Linked DNA regions of Styela clava. The protein of the gene in region 1 purifies or fractionates together with the protein of each later gene. This does not show direct contact. Links are inferred from orthologs where the notes say so. Each region holds a gene or a part of one and is shown on either strand. Other genes may lie near its edges.

Region 1 (9,279 bases):
CCCAAATATGCTTATTTGAAGGTCTTAGTGGCTCCTTAAATCGTTTAGCGAAGAGATTTCTGGAATTTAGCACATCAAAAAGCTGGTCAAAAATTCTGATAAATTTTACAGTTGCTTGACTTCCACTAAACTGCTTGAATTTCAGCACCGTATCAGAGTATTCGATCGCATCTGCAACACTGCTGCTCAGGGTTTGAGCAGCAATATCAACTTTCATCTTTTGTTGATACCAGTGTATATGTCTTTGCTTCAACTTGTTTGCAAGCCTAAGACCTTCAGTTGATTGGAGTTTTTGCAACTGCACAAAATATTCCCACAAAATTTTGTTCCCATTGCCATCACGCAAAACACCCCACTCCGCAAGGGTGTTTCGGACTAATTTAAGCATGTGACAAACGTCCATGAAAACATAAATCCGCTCAGATGGGCACGAAGGATGAGTAAAATATGATTGCATGCTTACATGCGAGGCAACAACTCCTAAATGAGAGAGCATTGAAAAATGACAAGATGGCCCGTCACAAGTTAAGGATACCACCTTGGCTCCAGTTTCACTCAATCTTTGAATCCCAATCTTTATGATGTTTGCTCTTTCTTCTCCGGTCAATCCATTAATGAGAAAATATCCCAAAGGTACTTTCCAGGACCCATTCACACAAACAGCCATCAAAACAAGAGCTTCCTTGGCAAGTGGAGCAGAATCATCCTGATTTTCAGCATTTCCCAGGTCAACAAAGCCCCGATACCTTTCTCCATCCCAAGCAACATGTTTCCTAATTGCCATTTCATCAATCATCATAGCACAAATCAATGAGTGCGATGCAGCACTCACCTTCAGCCGGATCGCATCAAATGCAATTTTTGTGAAACCAGGCTCAGCTGGAAGTTTCTGGTACCATTTTTTTATTACGCTTGGATGTGGTAAAGCCAGATTTAAGACTTTACGCACTTGAGATATTTGACGCCTTTTCCAGTTTGTAAATTCATTAAAATTCTATTGAAGATTGATGAAAGTATAGATCGCTGTAGACTTTCTTCACATGAAGCACTCACCAAGTTTTTCTTTCTCAGGGACTTTAGCACCGTTTCAAGAGATTTTACATGTTTTTGCAATCGATATGTTTTTTTTTGACAAAGCCGGAGTCGTTTTCTTACTGCTTTTAAATGTTGTAAGCTGAGATTTAATTTTTTTAACTTTGTAGGTGAAGCAATGACCTGTGAATATGAGTGGTCATGGAGCACATTGTTAAATTTCTCCTGCACTGACCACTTCTGCTTTACACATGAATGAAATTTTCTTTTTGTCGGTGACTTTCGCTGTTCGTTGACCTGCAAGAAATTTTGATGATCATGAGCATGTCCCACTTTAGATGCGTTGAACCGAAGCATGTGGCAAAAAACGAGAATTTTGAAAATTTAGAAGGCATTTGTCGTAAAAAAAAATCTCTCACATCACATAAACAGATGATTTTATATAGTTATTCCGATAAACTAAAAATTAAAATACATAACAGATCAAGTCTATTACCATAAGCTAAAATACTAGGTATCTGCATGCTATAGTGATCTTAATTGCCTGATATATGAAAAAAACACCCATTAAAATATGTGACAGGATTTTTTGTCGCTCTGGGTACAACATTTAAAGTTATTGAGGATTCAATTTGTTGTTTATCTTATGCATACCTTTCTTAAATATTTTGGAAATGCTTTGAATCGGGTCGGAACAGCATTGTCCTTAATTCTTGTGCGTTGCCCGGTTCTCTTAATATCGCTCTCTTTAAAATGGTCAGAGCATAAACGTGAAGAACTAGTTGGAATCCAATTCGCCCTCCGCAAAGCAGTTACCCACTTCTCGCAAAGTGCCTTATTCAAAGGAAATCTGAGAAAAATATTGTTAATTATGTATGAGCAAAAAAGAACTGATAATCATTTCATGCAGTAAGTGCACAATTTATTCGGATTTGAGCTACTTGAATTGAAGCAGGCCAGAACCAGAATTTGGATTTAACATAGTCTATCTGTATAGTCAAAAACGCTCTTTTCTAGTCAATAATAGTTTTATGCGCTAAATTGTTGACTACTTTGTATGTTATAAACTTGCTGTCGCCTTCAGCCCAAATGATTTAAATGCTTATACAATTTTTCCAACAACTTTGACTAAATTACAACTTTACTACAAACTGACTTCTGACCTTATAGTTACAGAAGACGAGCCTCAATACTGTACCGAGACAGCTATACCTGTATCTGTATGCATTTACTCTAACATATATCTGTATATCATGATAATAAAACTAGCTTTATCTTTTACAATGTTTAGCAGGCTATGAACAAATTGCTAAGACACACACTGGCAGACAACTGAAAACTGATATTGTTAACACAAACTGCTGGGCTATTTTTCTTACTTATGAAATGTCCTTATTTTCGTTTCAGCACACTTTCCTCGTCATCATCTCCCTCGCTATCACTTCGAAAGTCCTTCTTTTTAAAACGTTTTTTGCAACCATATGCGGAGCACTGAGTACCAATACCGCTACTTTTTCCAATCATTTTCTCCGCCTCAGATTTTTTTGGCAATGCCATACCGTACCTACCTTTAGTTAAACTATTCCGTAACTATATCGTACTGTCAGCCTAAAATATAAAAAAAAATACTAACTAGCTAGTGACAAATACTAACCTAGCCACCTATACTTAGGGAAGTTTGAACGTAAATACCCAATTATGAAACTAGCAGCTTTTAAACACGAAAAACAAGCCAAAACCAGCGAACTACCCTACCAGCAGGAAGAAAGTTTGGAAGCATAAGTGCCAAGATGGCGGCGATCAAATTGTCCCGCGCAGCGACAACGCAAAACGAGAGAGAAGATCGTTCCATATATTTCCAGTTCAGTGGTACAAATGCATAAAGTCGGCGTAGCAAATACGATTATTTAATAAAAAATAAAAATCGCATGGAGAGGGTTAAAACCATGATATTCAAAATTCTAAAAAAATGATTAAAAATCTTGATCTAATTCGGAAACTAATAATAAAAAAAAAAATTATTCTATGTCAAGAAAAAAAAAATAGAGCAAAACTAAAAAATAGCATAAAAATTAAAAAAAAAAAAAAAAATGAACGTAGTCGCAGGCGCCATTACGAGTGACGTCGTTATACTTTGACAAGCTCTATTTCGTGATTGTGACGTCGCAGTGACGTAATTTTTGGATGCCGTAGCCAGGTGGGGGTTCAGGAGTGACATATTAAAAAAAATTGAGCAACGCCCACTAGAAGTATATGTGGTACTAAACGTGGATTTATGAGAGAGATCGCTGCCGTTAGTGAGTTCTTTATCGTCGGCGCAGATGCCATTTCAGGCGATCGTAGGCATACAGAATACGAAAATTCCGTTTGGCATTGGAATTTATTTGGCAAAAAAAAAAAAAAAGGTACTTTGGCAAGCTCTATGACAGTATGGCGTGATGGTGCCGTAATTTTTTGATGGCATAGTCAGGTGGGGTTACAGTACAGCACACTATCCAAATTCCAAGAATTTGGCTCAATAAAACAAACACTTCATGTGTCTCACAAACGAGGGGCCTCTGGGACCACGTCAGATGCTTCATATCATGCCGTGCTTGTCTCAATAATAATCTAAATTAATCGGAGCCGTCACATGATCAAAATTCCCATTTGGTCATTTGGTTTGGCCATTTGTCCAGACGTCTCCCCAAAGGAGGGGTGTCTGATCATCTGTAAAATGGGTTTCTCTGAAACGGGACAATGTCACCCGATATGTATAGTGTGCCGTACTGGGTTAGAATTGACATTTGCAAAAATCATTATGCTACGCTCACTAGAAGTACTTCTGTACTTGGGGTACAAAACTACACGAGACCCGTCAATCTTAACCCCCATCTGACTACGTCATCCAAGAATTATGTCACTACGACATCACAATTATGTCATAGAGCTTGCCAAATATACGTAGAATCGCCCGAAATGGCATTGGCGCCGACGATAAAGAACTGACTGGCGTTATCGATCTCTCTCCTATTGGAATCGTTGCGACAAGAAAACGAGAGAAAATTACGTCACTGCGACGTCACAATCACGATAGGAGAAAGATCGATAACGCCGGTCAGTTCTTTATCGTCGGCGCCAATGCCATTTCAGGCGATTGTACGTATATTTGGCAAGCCCTATGACGTAATTGTGATGTCGTAGTGACGTAATTTTTGGATGCTGTAGTCAGATGGGGGTTAGGATTGACATATCAAAAAATTGTTATGCTACGCCCACTTGAAGTAAGTTAGGTACGAAACTACACGAGACCCTACTTCTTCTTTGTTGTATGTATGTTGAAGTTGAAATTCAATGTTCAAAAGGTAATTTTATTATTTTAAGGGTATGTGATTTATAAAATTTTTCATTTTCGTGGTACTCTTTATTGCTATCAGTTTTCATAATTTCGGGTCAACACTTTTTTTATGGTACCTTTTCTAAGGTTTTGTTGCATAGTTTTAAATCCTAATAAAGTCCTTATAAAAATGTAGCAATAATATTTTTTCACAGTGAATTATGTACGATTGTATTTCAATTATTGGTGTAGTTTTTGAATGAGTTTATAATTTATTTATTTAACTTCTGATGTAAAAAAGTTACGGTAGTTTTCTGAGATACAGTCAACTTGTTTTTCCAAGATCATGTATCTTTGCTTCTTTTAGTAATTATCCAAACTCAATTACCTGAAATTTCTTCATAATACACTGCATTTTATATTTGAACTTTCAAGTTAGAATTCCCACGATTAGTCACTTATTAACTATGCGCATTTATGCAGTCAAAATTTATAGTATAATCTGAAATGAATTTACTTTTCCCTAAATTACTTTCTATACAAATAAGTTCCATTTTCATTTTACCTATTAATTTGCTAAAACTTTTTATGAAAATAATGCTGTTTGAATTGTTCACCTATCCTTACAAATTTATTTGTAAAAAAATTCAAAGTTTTACGATTGTGGTCAAATCTGGCTTGTGTGACAAGCTAAAAAAATTAATCTATACTGGAGCTTTTGGACTAGTCAAAATGAAATAAGGACCAGGCCAAATTCTTGAATATCAATTTTTTCAAATATAGACTTCCTTCAGAGGTCACAGCCATATTCGTTCTGTTGAATGTTTATATAAACCTACCTCGTTCAGTTAATATAGTGGAATGCTTGTGCGATATATGCAGACTGTCTTTTATTATTTTGCCTTTATCCTATATCTTACTGCACTGTATTTGTATTAAAGTACTGGTAATCAGCTAACACAAGTAGCTACCTTTTACTATCTTGCCTTCCTCATGTATCTTACTGCACTGTATTTTTATCAAAGTGATTAGTTAACACAAGTAGCCCAGCTGACAAGATGTCTGTAATACAATGTGATACAAAAGAAGATTTCGATAAGCAACTTTGTGATGCTGGTCAAAAACTTGTTGTTGTCGACTTCTATGCGACTTGGTGCGGACCGTGTAAAGTGATTGGTCCCAAAGTTGCAGCAATGAGTGGGGAATACAAAAATGCTGTTTTTCTAAAAGTGGATGTGGACGAAAATTCAGACACTACTGAAAAGCATGGAATAAGTGCTATGCCTACATTTCTGTTTTTCAAGAATGGTCAAAAAGTTGATGAACTTGTGGGAGCAAGTGAAGCCAAGCTGAGAGAGATGATAGAGAAGAATATTTAGAATCTTTTCAATATAGTTTTGATTTCCTGTAATTGATCCAATAGCGATAAATTATCCCAAAAATCATTTTGAATTCGGGAATGCACAATTTGTAGTCAATTTTAATATTTGTAGTGTTGTAAATTGTAATCTGAGGCTAATTTTTTAATACAGATGTACTCAGTGAAGATGTTACCTGGGTTTAAATAGTTGAATACAGAATTCCGATTTTGAACAAAGTTTGATAAATGTATTTATAAACGGGAATGGGTTTGATAATTTATTTTGCAGTTCTGATTTAAAAAAATTAGTTTTCTGCGATACAGTCAACATATCTCTTCAAGATCATGTATCTTTGCTTTTTTTAGTAATTATCCGAACTCATTAGAAACACGAATAGTCACACAATTTGCTTATGATGAAGTCAAAATTTGTTGCCCAATCTGGATTGAATTTACTTTCTTAGAATTTCTTCCTATATAAATATGTTCTATTTGCACTTTTCGGTATTACTTATTAAATTTGCCCCAAAATTAATGCAATTAGGCTTGAGCACCCATTCTGATATTTTACAACCAGTTTCTCGTAAAATTTGTAGTTTTACCCAATGCGGTCTAATCGAGCATGTTATATCATGATTTGCTAAAAAATATTCTTGAATATTAATCTTTTTAAATATGGACTTCCATAAAGCTCACATGCATATTTGTTCTGTTGAATGTTTATTCAAACGTTCTAGTTAATATAGTGAAATGCTTGTACGATATATGCAGATTATCTCTTGATTTTGCAAATTTTGATGATAATAGGGAATATTCAATATTGTGATAATACATTATTCAAATTTCAGTTTTTTCGAGTGACTATTTTTTATAAACAAATTTTCAGGTATTCGAATTGTAGTACTGACAATAATATTGGTTCTGTTTTATTTAGCTTCGGGATATTACTTTTAAAAATTGAACTTTCCATAACATGTGAAAACTTGTACGATATTCTGAAGTCGGGATATTTTACATTGGATTGAACAACAACCATGGGTGGATGTATAAGGAGGCTGATCGGCCCTCCACAAAATTCAAATACAAATGGAAGTAACCGGCAACCAAAAATGTCACAGGCATCATTTTCAAATATTCAACAACAACAACGATCTCAAAGTAAGAGACTACCAGAATTTTTTTTTTATTTATATCTGCTTTTTTAAATTTATTTATCAAATAACATATCGCCGGATGAGAACAGAACAGGCCTAAGTCACAATTTTGAGTTTTGAGAAAAACGCAAAAAACAATTTGGAATTTTTTTATTTTTGAATATCTAGATATTCACAATTAGTAAAGTCCTGAGCTCTGGTTATTTTAGTTTGGATGAGAATATCTTTGTAATCAATATTTTTTGGCACTTCAGCTTCAATTTCTTTCTGCTTTTTTACCTCCATAAGAGATTTAGGCCCATTCTGTTCTCAACAACTTCTGAAATTTTTTGTATGGGATGCAAAGTAAAAAAAGGTGACTTAGGCCTAAGTTGCACTGAACAAATTTTTAGGGATGTAAGTTTCAGACATTTCATTGCTGATGTTCATGCCCATCATATTGGAACCTATAATTCTTCAGCATGGTGAAGAAATAAATTACTGAGTGATAGACCAGTGATTGTCATTACCAAATAATGTATGTAGGCCTTCTGTTACGAATACATTATGATTAGGGCGAGCACTCAATATGCTTCTAGACAAAAAGGCACACTTAAAACCATTTCTTGCGGAGAAAAACTATCAAATAATGTGCCGACCAAAAATTAAAAATGGGTTAAACATAAAATAATACCATATATTTGCGTAATGAAATGCAGTGCTGGGCACCCATTATGCGTAAGAAAGGTACGCGTAAAATATCTCACATTAAAAACAGGTACACGCCAAATCATGAGCAAACACAATTAACTCCTGTGAGAATTTTGCTGCTGTTTTGTTTCCAATATAAGATTACAAACGAGGCCTCAAAGAAGTTTTTGCAACACGTAGCTCTGCAGCCGCGTGCAGCCGATTTCTTTGCTTCGTTGTAATTGAATCTAGTGATGATAATGTTTTTTTCGCATAACGCAGTAACTGGCTGAAAAGACGGACAACAGTTCGATTGCTCGATTACTTGGCCATGAGTATTCGTTATCAAGAGATATCTAAAATTGTGATAAGTAATTCTTTTTTAATCGGGACTGTAAAGTAGAATCGCCATTTTAATCAAGCCTTTTCTTTTGCAATGGGTTCATCATAAAAATCCCTCTGCAGTTGATCGACGCCTCAAACGAAATGAATTTGCATTACAATGCCAAAGTCGTCGGTAACTTGGCAACAGGCTCAAAATCCTACTGTGTCTGGAAAAGATATCTGCGGCCCATGCTTTTTTGGGCGTGTCGTGACCACCTGTCGCCTGTGGGGTCTCAACAAGTTCCTCTCTTACTGGAATATTATACTGTTCTTGACTGTTTTCTGGTTTGAAAAAGAAGATATGCATTACGTTTTATATGGATGGTCATATTAAGCAGGCAAAGCACGCAGAACAGAAAAAGCACGCATGCCGATTTTGAGGCTTCTTAATTTTGCGAGATTTGATGGAGCGCATTCGCGATGAATCGGAGGCGAAAAGTGTGAATGCTCGGCGCCAAGATGTCGCGTAAGACGGCGTCAAGATGTCGCAATATGACGGGGGAAGAGAATTGCGTAATGAGCCAAAGCAACTTTGTATACGGTAGGCTACAAAGTACAAAAAAAAAACTTTGTATACGGTAAAGCGATTGAGACGGCATAAAAACAACAAAACTTCTCGCGGACCGTCAAAAAAGCTTCGCAGACCGGCACCGGTCCGCGGACCGGCGGTTGGGAACCACTGTCTTAAATGAAGTAAAAATACTTTAACAATTACTGATTAAAAAACAACAAACCTGGTTAAGATATATTGAAAACTGACTTCATATCTAAATTGAAAATTGTAAAGGAACTTTATGAACACCCTGTATATTCTAAAATTGACAGTATTCATTGTAGAATTTTACACAAATCACTGTTAATTTATAGTATTTAGATTTGATCATATCGAATGTGGGAGATAAATTTCATTTTAGATTGATTAAGACTTGCTTATTATTACAGAGAGTGAAGTGAAATTTAGATTCTTTTTATCTGATCATCAGATGCAAATGCCTGAGATAACAAATTTTCGAATGAAGTTATTTTAAATTATTCTCGAGATTAAGATTTGACAGTTAAGTAAAACGTAGAAACTATAAATTGTGTATGTGGGTGGTTCATGAGTAGAAGTCATTCAGTCAGTAGTTATTTTTTCACATGCCGATAGACGATAGTACACATTGTACATATAGAAGTAAAAAAGATTTCGGAAAGACGCGATAAACCAGTTATGCGGTTAACCAGTAGCGCGGCGGTGTGGCTCAACGGGCTAAGCGTTAGGAATACGCTCGCCACCGCACCTCTAATTACTCTGCGTGGGTTCGCAGGTTCGAATCCCATGCAGGGATGGTTATGTGCGAGAGGATTGCTGGACTCCTCGCCGT
Region 2 (10,666 bases), on another chromosome or scaffold:
TGTTTATTATATTTTACATATAGCCTGGTTGCTCCCTTGTTGGACACGAAGTGTATTTATGGACCGTTTTAGTATTATCATGTTGTTTTTGATCATGGTGTTGTTAGTATACTTTTTTCTCTCTTTTCGTCACAAAAAAGCGTGTCCGCATTAACTACTGCACCAATTGCTTTGAAATTATCAGTGGTTGAAGATTGGATTTTTCTCTAGAAGGATATTACTTTTATTTATCTTAAAAATTTCTGTGGCCTTTATGGGATTCGTTTTTTTTGTGTTTGATTACGTCATTAAAAATTGTGCACATTGTGGCGGTTAGTTTGCGTCAGTTGTGAAGTTTGCGGCACGTTTTGGACTTCATCTTCATATATTTGAGCATCGCTCTCTTGTTATTATAAATCATTGGCAAACTATCTTCATATGCCATTTAGTGGAATTCTTTCAATATTTTACTGTCATCACAGTATTAACTATTTGGCCCCCATGTCCCTATTTGGGCATTGCTCGCTTGTAAACATAAACACACAATTTACTATACCAATCATTCATTGATCGGCGCAGGCCGTCGGTTCGATTGTAATTTGAAAATAAGACTCATGCTCGACGCTATGTATTGTCAGCAGTACAGGGTTTGAAATATAGGATGACCATAAAGTATTGAATTCATTTTAAAATTGCAAAGGGAATTCATCGATACCATATATTGTTTTGGCCCTCACAGATGTATTAAATGAAGTAAAATACTTGGTGCTCCCGAAGTATGCGGACCAAGATGGCGGACATCGGAACGTAACATGGGTAACAGGTTAGGGTTAGGCCATAATTTTTTTCCAATTTTCCTTATTTTAGTCCTATTATCAGTTCGAAGACTAGCCAAGAGATTCCCGTAGTATTTATACCTAAAATTATGGCCTAAACCTAGTACACATATTACATTCCGATGTCCGCCATCTTGGTTCGCATACTTCGGGAGCCCCAAATACTTAAACAATTATTGATTCAAAAACAACAAACCCGGTTAAGACATAATGAGAACTGACTTCATAACAAAACTGAGATTGAAATAGGACTTATGGACATCTTGTATATAAATTATATTTATATATGATATATACACTGGTCAAAATGATTGATTAACAGCCGGGTGACTTCCCAATTATTACCAAATCAAATAAAAAATAATAAGAATTGTGTTGTTGCTGTGGCCATATCAGTCATTTTTAGGCATTACTATCTTTAGTTCTCAAACAATATAGTAATCTTCCTGCTCTACGTGCCTACGTCCTATTATCGCATTATGTCGCAGACAATGTAATACGTGACGCGCTCGTCGGTTGGTCAGATTATAATTTCAAATTACGACTTTCGTTTGGGGCGATGAATTTCTTAGAGCGTGTATGGCCCCGGTATAGATATTAGGCTTTCCACAAAATTTGATCAAAGCAGGGTTGCGCACTCACTCAAAAATAAAAGAGACTCATCTCTGTGCATAGTTACAGATTCTCACTCTGCAGTAAAGAAGACTCATCTCTGAGCGAACTCTCTCTTGCGCACTCACTCAGAAGTAAAAGAGACTCTTCTCTAATCAAAGTTACAGGCACACACTCAGGAGTAAAAAAGACTCATCTCTGGGCAAAGTTACGGGCACTCACTCAGAAGTAATGACGTCTTATCTCTGAGCAAAGTTACTGGCACTCAGAAGTAAAGAAAACTCATCTCTGAGCATTGTTACGGACACTCAGGGTATGAAAGGAGATTCATCTCTAAGCAAAGTCTCGCGCACTCACTCAGAAGTAAAGGAGATTGATGTCTGAGTGAAGTTACGGATGCTCACTCTAAAGTAAAAAAGAAACATACAAGGAAACTGGTGCGGTTCGCTTATAGAGCAGTATTCTTCAAACTCGTTGCAAGCAATGCTCGAGTGTGTATTATTAAATGACTTCGGGATGCCAACAAAATTCCGGGCAAATGTTAAATGAATTGTAACAGATGCCATAGGAAAATGTAAACAAGATGTCATATTTAGGTGTTCCCATGAAATATAAAAACAACAACATGTGAAATATCGTCCTCACAGGACTCAGGAAAATAGCCCAATGACAAGTTTTAATGGCCATCGAACATTATACGCTATGTTCCCTTCCAGCCTTTGAACAAATTGATGAACGTATTCGAATCGGGTAGTAGATTATTCGAATCGGTGGAGACGAAAATTTCGAATCGCCGCCATCTTGTTTTCCTTTTGTACGGCAAATGTCGAGATGAATCCTTCAATTTTTCTAGAAGATATTATTTTACAATGTAATTCTGACACGAGAAAATTTTCTTTTTAGTAAGTTATTGATGAAACATGTTTCTTATTGTGCGTGAACGCTCAGCGAACTATCTGAGTTATGGTTTCTGTGATGTCACAAACAATCACATATCTTAACTTATGAGATAACAATGGTGTGGCGTGAACAGTCTCTCGCCGAGAAAGTAAATATTATTTTATTTACACGCGGAAAAATTATTTGCTTTGTGATAGTTTGTTGCTGGGGAATACTCTAGTGTTGTGTACATCGCTAACCATGGTCTTGTCACTTTAGAAATTGTCATTTATATACCATAGTCTGGAAGATATATTTGGCGTCAACAACCCTTCTCGCAATGCGGACGGGTTTGACATGTCGCCTACCGACTGTCAAAAAAATAATCTAACCAAATCAATAACGTAAATCAGGGGTGTGCAACCTGCAGCCCACAAAGGAAAATTGTGCGGCCCGCAGAGAGGTGGCAATTTCGAATGATGTTCGGCCAGCGAAACAAGTTTTTAATTTGGTTTAATCTGGTACGCGTAAGAACTTCCTATCCGTTTGGCGTTGCAAAGCCTATACCTGATGCATATGAAGCTCAATGCTCTAACACAAGAGTGGGCAAGGTTTTTGGACCAGGGACCAGACCCACCTAGACTGGCGGGCCATGTAAGTGTGACGTAAAAGTAACATTTTATAAATAATATTTACAAAAGCAAAAGTGGAAAACAATAAGCTTCGTGTCAAAACTAAATCTGAACGCAATCTCAACAAATTCCCTGAACTATTTTTCAGCTAAAACATCAAAAGTTGATTTTAGTTTGGCTGTGGCAGCATCAGGCGGGCCAGATCAAATTACCCAATTTGGTCTGGATCTGGATTTTACCCGCGAGCCGTAGTTTGCTCATTTTAGCGCTAACAGCTGGCTCGACAACTTTTATGCATGTAACCACTAGAAAGCCCATGTTAAATAGAGATGCGGCCCGCAGTTTGCCCAGTTATTCGTATTTGGCCGGCCTGTAAAAGTTGCACACCTCTGACATGAATATATACAAGAAAAAATATGCAGGTTGGCCCTTTCGACACCCGATGTGGACAGGTAATCGGACGAGAGGCCGTGTATCGTCATATTTATTGCGCCGTATTAAATTTCCCTTTTGATCGGGAATAAATGAAAATCCTACTGCAGTTATCCGGTGACCGTACATTTGAACTCGTACTTTTGCACCCGTATATCCGCGGGTTCAATCTATATTCGGGTGCTAAAACCCATGGGTTAGGGTTAGTATGGATTTAAATATCCGTAAAAAAAATTCATAGGTGCAATAGCATGCAGGTGCACTTGTCGTGGGTTCAAATTACGGGTTCAAATGTACGTGGGTTCAAATGTAATGGAACCCAGTTATCCACTTAGCCGATATCGATCTTGCCGATACTCGTGAATGCATTGTGCCATTCGACAGTGGTTCCAATCTTTTTGGTGGAACGGAACCAGAAACATTCCAGAAGCTCGAGGAACCCGTATGCGATAGTTTAGTTGTCTTTTACTGTCTCAGTTGTATAAACTAAGAATAATTATGAACGCAAAACTAATACTAGCAAAAATGGTTATTTAATTGTAATAAATTTAATGTTAGTGGAAACTATTAGATATTGCAATAAATTTAAACAATATGTTTAGTTTAAACAATATATTTAAACAAAATCAATGTAGACTCTCAGATTTAGATGGGAAATGGCGGATTAGTGTCCTTGACCAGTAGTTTCCAACCTTTGACCCCCTTTTTATCATTCCAGAGGTATTCATAGTGTTAATTTTGATTGATATATTCCACAACCCGCCATGTTCAAACAATTCATGCTCAACAAGGTCAAAACACATCCTGTGAAATAACCTTATCAAGCAATAAAACTAGGAAAAATGAGAAGTAATAATTTAACTGAAACATAAAAAAAAAACGGAATTTACGTTTCCGAAGTAAACATTTGTATCCCAAGGTTTTTTTTAGATCAGAAGACGCAAGATTCCGGATTAAATATATATATATATATTTAAAACTGCAACCCGACACTTTAAATAGCAGGAGCAGCAGAAGTTGTGCTGTTTTTTTAGTTTTTAGAGCAGTGTTTTCCAAACTTTTACACCGCGGACCCCTATTTATCAATCTTAGTTTTGACGGACCCACACCTTATACCGTATCAATTTCTGTTCCTAACCAGCGAGGAAGGACAATGTTCTATTTACAACACGATACAAACGACATATGATGGATGAGGTTGCTTTTCTCTGCACAATTTTCGGAGTAATTTGTGGCACACAAACTAGGTCCGACTCTATGGCAAGTCTAGAATCTGTAGTTTGCTATCGTATTGGTAAGAGCTGAGAATGATGTCTCGCACATGCAGGTCGTTGCAAAGCGCAGCAAGAAATAATCGTCCACAACGATAAATTAGAAAGATACAATGACATTTTGATTGAAATCAATCATTAAAGTTCGATCCGTATCTTTTTAAATCGTTGCGGGCCCCCTGTGCAGTCATCACGGATCCCCAGGGGTCCACGGACACCAGTTTGGGAAACCTTGTTTTAGGGTAATGTAATTCCTACTATCACAACACAATTATTTCCATGTTATAGCGACGCAGTTGTGACCTGTATTTCACGGACACACTTTTGCGAATGCCTTCCACTCATTATCCAGATCTGGTCAAGCTTATACAATGACTTCAACTAGAAATGGGTAATTAGATCTTTTAAATTTACTGGACCACAGGTGACAGTTTTCCATTGCGGAATTTAGAGTCCTATAATTAATCTCGCTCTCAATGGTGAGCAATCGGTGCGTATGACACCAATCCGAGCCGCAAAACCGATTATTTGCTTATTTTATCATGCTTTCTGTTGTTCACTATGTTAAGATAGAATTTACATAGTTATCCTGGCGAGAGGAAAGCCGATGGGTCGGCTTAATCATATTGCTAACCACGGCCTCTCGTCCGTTTACCAGTCCATGTCGGGTATGGGATTTGCTAACCAATTATGTGTTGTCAAAACATTAACTTGTGAGGGCCGCGTTTCGCCATTCGATTGAGTCGCTTTATGGGCTTTTCTTTCACTCAAAATAAACAACAATTGTACAACAACTTCAATTGTTTGAAAATACATATATGTTGTAAATACCGTCCACAATTCAAATCCACTAAAGTCGTATGATGTAATATGGACTCCCTGCACTCGTCGTTCGGCCACGGACATATTACGTCATATTATTCGACTAATCTGTCATTATCCGTTGAAAAATCGATGTAAAAATCTATAAAATATTATTCAAAATGCATTTAAACAAATGAGAAGGCTTAGAAACTGTCGGAAGATCTGAAAATTATCGATTTATTTCATTACGCAACACGACTCACTTTGACCCCCACGCTTCCGACACATCTCAGGGGTCAAATGAAAGTTGCCAAATGTGCGCTGCGGTGTTTCTAATGCGAGATTACGAAATCAAATTTGCATCAATAAGATAGGATTTTTATTTTATTTATCCTCGTAGAGAGGAAAGACGATAGGACGGTGTGCTCATATTACGAATCTCTTGCCAGATTAGCAGAGTACGTGTTGATGTTGCCTGGTGGCCTATGCTACGGCTGTATGGCAATACTGCAATGGGTGACCATGTTGCATGTAAACTATTCGACATTGTTGACGAAATAAAATACTACTACTACCGGTACATATTAGTTCCAGTTATTAGTACAGTAGATGCATGGTCTTGGAACATTCATAGCGCTATCATGCCGCCAGTGGCAGAGAATGAAATTATACCGGTACGGTATAGTCATATCTGAATGTCACCACAGGCAGTAAAAAATGTAGAATTCTTGTAATATACCTAATTCTAATTCTGTAATCACTGAATTAGACTGAAACTGCAATATGCACCGTACTTTACTGTCATTCTGTCATTACTTTTACTTATTGAATAATATTGGATTTTGCAATATTGTACTAATCTTTCAAAATCCAACAAAAAAGGCCGTTAATTTATTGAACTTTGCCGAAGTGACTCGAGTCGCCTAAATAAAATGACTCAAACCTAACTTTGATCTAACTTTGCATTTAAAATATTTTTTGCAGACAATTAACTTCCAATCATGTATAGATGTGGTAGGACGTGCAATCAAGCACGAATTTTCGTCAGAAATTTAAAGAAAAATGAGGAAACATCACAAAATATATGTAAGTAGTTCGTTTTTGGTTTTAAAGTGTTTTGGGATTAGGTGTCACAATTTAAGCATAGCTGAAGCAGACATTGAGAATATTTTTATGCTGCGTCAAGTCCAAGCCATTTCAAAACAACTCCAGGGTGAAAGCAAATGGTTGTTCATAAAATTTATATTATTTATGTATGATTGTAGATTTCGCACATTTTGTCATATTTGCAAATTAATTTTAGCAGTAATTCCAATTGATTTGGTCATTAAATCCTTTGCACAAATATCCATATTTTATAAATGCATAATTTGTTGATTTTACCAGATTTGATCATTTTTTAGGTCCAAGCCCTGGCAGGCTGGGACACATTCAAAAGTTTTCTCGCGATGCATGGTTGGGAACGCCCCACTGCGCATGATTCTTGTGTCTCGTATTATTTTAGACCAGAAAAATGAGACCACTGATGGGGAAACAGAGGGCCCAGGAATTTTCAAAGCAGGGTTCTGAAATAGATTGTAACAGCCAGCAGGCCCAACTCTCTTGAGGGTCTGAAAAGCGTTTCAAACTATGAAAAATTGTTATGTAAGATACAGAAAAATGCCTTTTTTTACATTCAAGAGGTGAGGTTTCAACCCTCATTCCCCTCCCCCATTATTGAAACACTGATTTCTACACAGTTGGGAACACTGTCTTAAAGACTATTTCATTTTTTCAGTTTCCAGAACATACAGATTCACTCGGAAAGAGCCGGCAAATCGTCTACAGCTTTACTCCCATCGTTCATTAGATCTTCCGGCTCATATCGGCTCGCTACTATGTATCGGGACTGGAATGATATTTTTTGGAGCTGTAAGTGGATTTTTATAGATTAAAAACTAGGTCATGAGCACAAAGTGCATAGGATTACTCTGAACAAGGCTCTGTGTAAAGAGCTAATAGAAATTGGAACAATGGTTCTCGAAGTCGCTAGGCCGGGGGTCTGAATTAGAAGCAGAAGGATCTTAGCGTGCCAGGAGAGGGAAGCGCCTGCAAGGGGAACAAGGCGCTTAAACTGGGATAATGATCTAACGGTTGCCGGTATCTAAAACACCAAAATGTAAAAAACATATGAAGTGTTTAACTTAAGTTCGACGGGCCATATTGGATCTACCACGAGACGTAATTGACCCACTGGCCGTGGTTTGGGAACCACTGGTTCAGAGTTACCTGAATCATTCCAATTTCTATTCGAGATTATTTATATTCGGTATTCATAATTCTACATTTTGATTTTGGAATAACTTCATTTGAGAATTGAATTGCCTTTTTGAGCTTTTGAAATCTCGCGCTATTATTGAGAGCCTCTATTTACTTTGTTCTGAAAATTAAAAACAGCGGAGCAGTCAAATCACTGCCCATTTTATATGTTTCTGTTAAACGTGATTACGTGAACCAATTCAGAATATATTCGATATATTATAAATTCAAACATGCCCTTTTATAACAGAGGTTCCCAAACCGCAGCCCATGGGCCAATCATGGCCCGCGTAACGATTCATTACGGTCTGACGAATTTAAGTGAAATGGTTTAACACTTGTTTTTTCCTTTTTGTTTTCGTAATACCACAAATTGTTATGTCATTATCACAGTTTAATTACATGTATATTTGTAACAATTCGATTTTACCGATATCTAAATTATATATACCAGAACCTCTGCGGGCCGCGAATATCCTTTCGCTTCTAATTTCGGCCCCGATCATTCAACTTTGGAAACCACTGTTTTGGAATGTAATTAAAATAGAGAATTATCTTATGCTGGTAACAGATAGCATACTTTACATTACAGGCTGCTTTCCAATGTTCCAGTGAAGCTAAAGCTGCAGAAAAACAAGAAGATGATGAAGAAGCCCAAACTGAAGAAGGTGAATTCCCAGATATACCAAAATATAATTAAGTTATTTAGATCAGGGCTTCGCAAATTTTCAAGCTCGTGACCCCTTCTAATATATTAAAATATTCTGCCTACTCTGTTACGTTGGCATTGTTGTGTAGGCTGCGTGCCTCTTCTCCGATCCTATGTATTCTCCCGAAATCGTGATAATTATGTTTTGCACTATTTTTAATAATTGTGTTTCGAATCAAAATTAAAATAGATATTGACTCTATGTGAAATTGGTAAACTTTTTGCGATCCCTAAAATTGATTGCGCGACCCCCAGTTTGAGAGGCTCTGATTTATACCAAATTGAATAGGCTGACCCTGGAGTGCATAATAAACTCCTTATTGCTGTATCCAGGATAATATTAAACTTCATGGTACGGCTACACAGTCAGGTGTCCAATTCCAACGCAGAGTTATTTCAACGTTGACCGTTCAACGTTGGGATTCTACTGTAAATTTTTCCCCGACTTCTATGTCCTGGATTGATATATGCCAAACTCAGGCTCATAACATCCTTCTAATTCTCTATTTTCCTAGATCAAACGCCCCTGGATTATCAGTGTTTTGCAACTTATAAGTCGCGACCCAAAACTGGGTCGTTTGAAATTTTGAAAATAATATCCTAACTTTTATCCAGAGCCTGTTCTTCCAGAGATTCCAGAATCAACACAATATTTATTAATCGGAGGAGGAACAGCATCACACTCAGCCATGAGGGCGATTAAGAAGAGAGATCCAACTGCAAAGGTATGTACAATGGTACTCCTGTTGTATGCGAACCAAGATGGCAGACATCGGAACGTAGTACGTGTACCATGTTAGAGTTAGGCCATAATTCCAGGTACGCATACTACGGGAGTCACTTGGCAAGTCCCTGAACTCGTATTAATAGAACTAAGATATAGAAAATTAGAATAACATTTAGGTTTAGGCAATACCCTTACCTGGACCACATACTACGTTCCGGTGTCCGCCATCTTGGTTCGCATTCTACGGCTACGGGAGTACCTGTTCAATGATGTTTGTTCTGACTCAAAAAAAGCAGATACTCTTGCTACTGTTCTGGGATCTATAGTAGTGGGTGTTGTCATTGTCATATACACAAAGCAAAGTCACACGCAATCACTGACAAAATTATATAGGGTTATAGCGGTGCCGGAAACTTCTTCAGGATTTGAACTTGTGGGCCGCAAAGTACTCTCGACTGGGTGTGCAAAGAGCGATGGATTAGTGGTTAGAGCTGGCATATGAAAACTACGGTCTTTGGATCAAATGCGGCCTGTTAGGTGGCTGGCCCGCCTGATGCTGCCATGAATTTCTGCTTTCAACAAGTCTTGCATGCACTACCTAGTTGTCGTGTGCGGCTATGCGCATCCTTAAGTTTCAATTTAGTGCTGACAAAGTTTTGTTAAAGCCCCTATAACACTCTTTTAATGTTCTTCTTTGTTCATAGCTTACACATTCTGTTCACAAAATGTAACTTTTTACATCACACTAACATGGCCCAGATGTAATTAAGTTTGCACTGCAGGCTTCACTCACAGCCTAATAAAATTGGAAAGGCAATGCCAGACCCGAATGATTATGGACTTAATTAAAGGTGATAGCTTCCTGTCTATCCCTGGCAGCTCGAGCAAAGGCTTGTTTATAACAAAACGGTTTTCTTAGCGCATGATAGCCATCAGGTATATTCATGTCGAAGATAAATAAAGCGCAACCGGTGTTAGCAAAACGATGAATTTGCAGGCGTTTCAAATTTCTTATCAGAACGTAGCCGTCATTAGGACCTGATGAAGTGTTCTAAATAGAAATTTGAAACGTTGGCAAATTATATCGTTTTGCTAACACCGGTTGTGCTTTATTTATCTTCGACAAAACAGCTTTCTGGTCAAATTTTGTATCTTGTTCAATTTATGTTCTCTTCCTGCCATGATAGGAGTAAAGTCATGAAAAATGTTTGAAAAACACTGTTTTCTACAATTTTACTCAGATTCTCATAATAACGGAGGAAGAGATGCGACCCTACATGCGCCCACCACTTTCAAAAGAATTGTGGTTTTCCGATGATAAAGAGGCCGCGAAGGAATTGCAATTCAAACAGTGGAACGGAAAATGGAGGAATCTATTCTATGAGGAGGAGGACTTCTATGTCAAGCCCTCGAAATTACCAACACTGACCTCCGGTGGTGTTGCTCTTTTAAGAGGAAAGAAGGTGCACTATTTATTCAATTAGTCA

What was found. Proteins that work in one complex are often made in the same cells at the same time.
Region 2: the proteins of thioredoxin-like (region 1) and apoptosis-inducing factor 1, mitochondrial-like purify together in Homo sapiens (affinity purification with mass spectrometry; 3 studies listed by BioGRID and IntAct, with this or other methods). This does not show direct contact. The link is inferred for Styela clava from reciprocal best matches to the Homo sapiens genes TXN and AIFM1.

The regions. Positions count from the first base shown.
Region 1 is NC_135257.1:18,244,083-18,253,361, forward strand, and holds thioredoxin-like, read left to right. Parts: upstream 1-5,336; 5' UTR 5,337-5,406; coding exon 5,407-5,727; 3' UTR 5,728-6,642; downstream 6,643-9,279. Other genes in the region: tyrosine-protein kinase Src42A-like, read left to right, coding at 6,743-6,866. UniProt on the Homo sapiens protein: Participates in various redox reactions through the reversible oxidation of its active center dithiol to a disulfide and catalyzes dithiol-disulfide exchange reactions.
Region 2 is NC_135263.1:616,205-626,870, forward strand, and holds the start of apoptosis-inducing factor 1, mitochondrial-like, read left to right. Parts: upstream 1-6,416; 5' UTR 6,417-6,446; coding exon 6,447-6,531; intron 6,532-7,222; coding exon 7,223-7,356; intron 7,357-8,335; coding exon 8,336-8,411; intron 8,412-9,067; coding exon 9,068-9,177; intron 9,178-10,420; coding exon 10,421-10,642; intron 10,643-10,666. UniProt on the Homo sapiens protein: Functions both as NADH oxidoreductase and as regulator of apoptosis.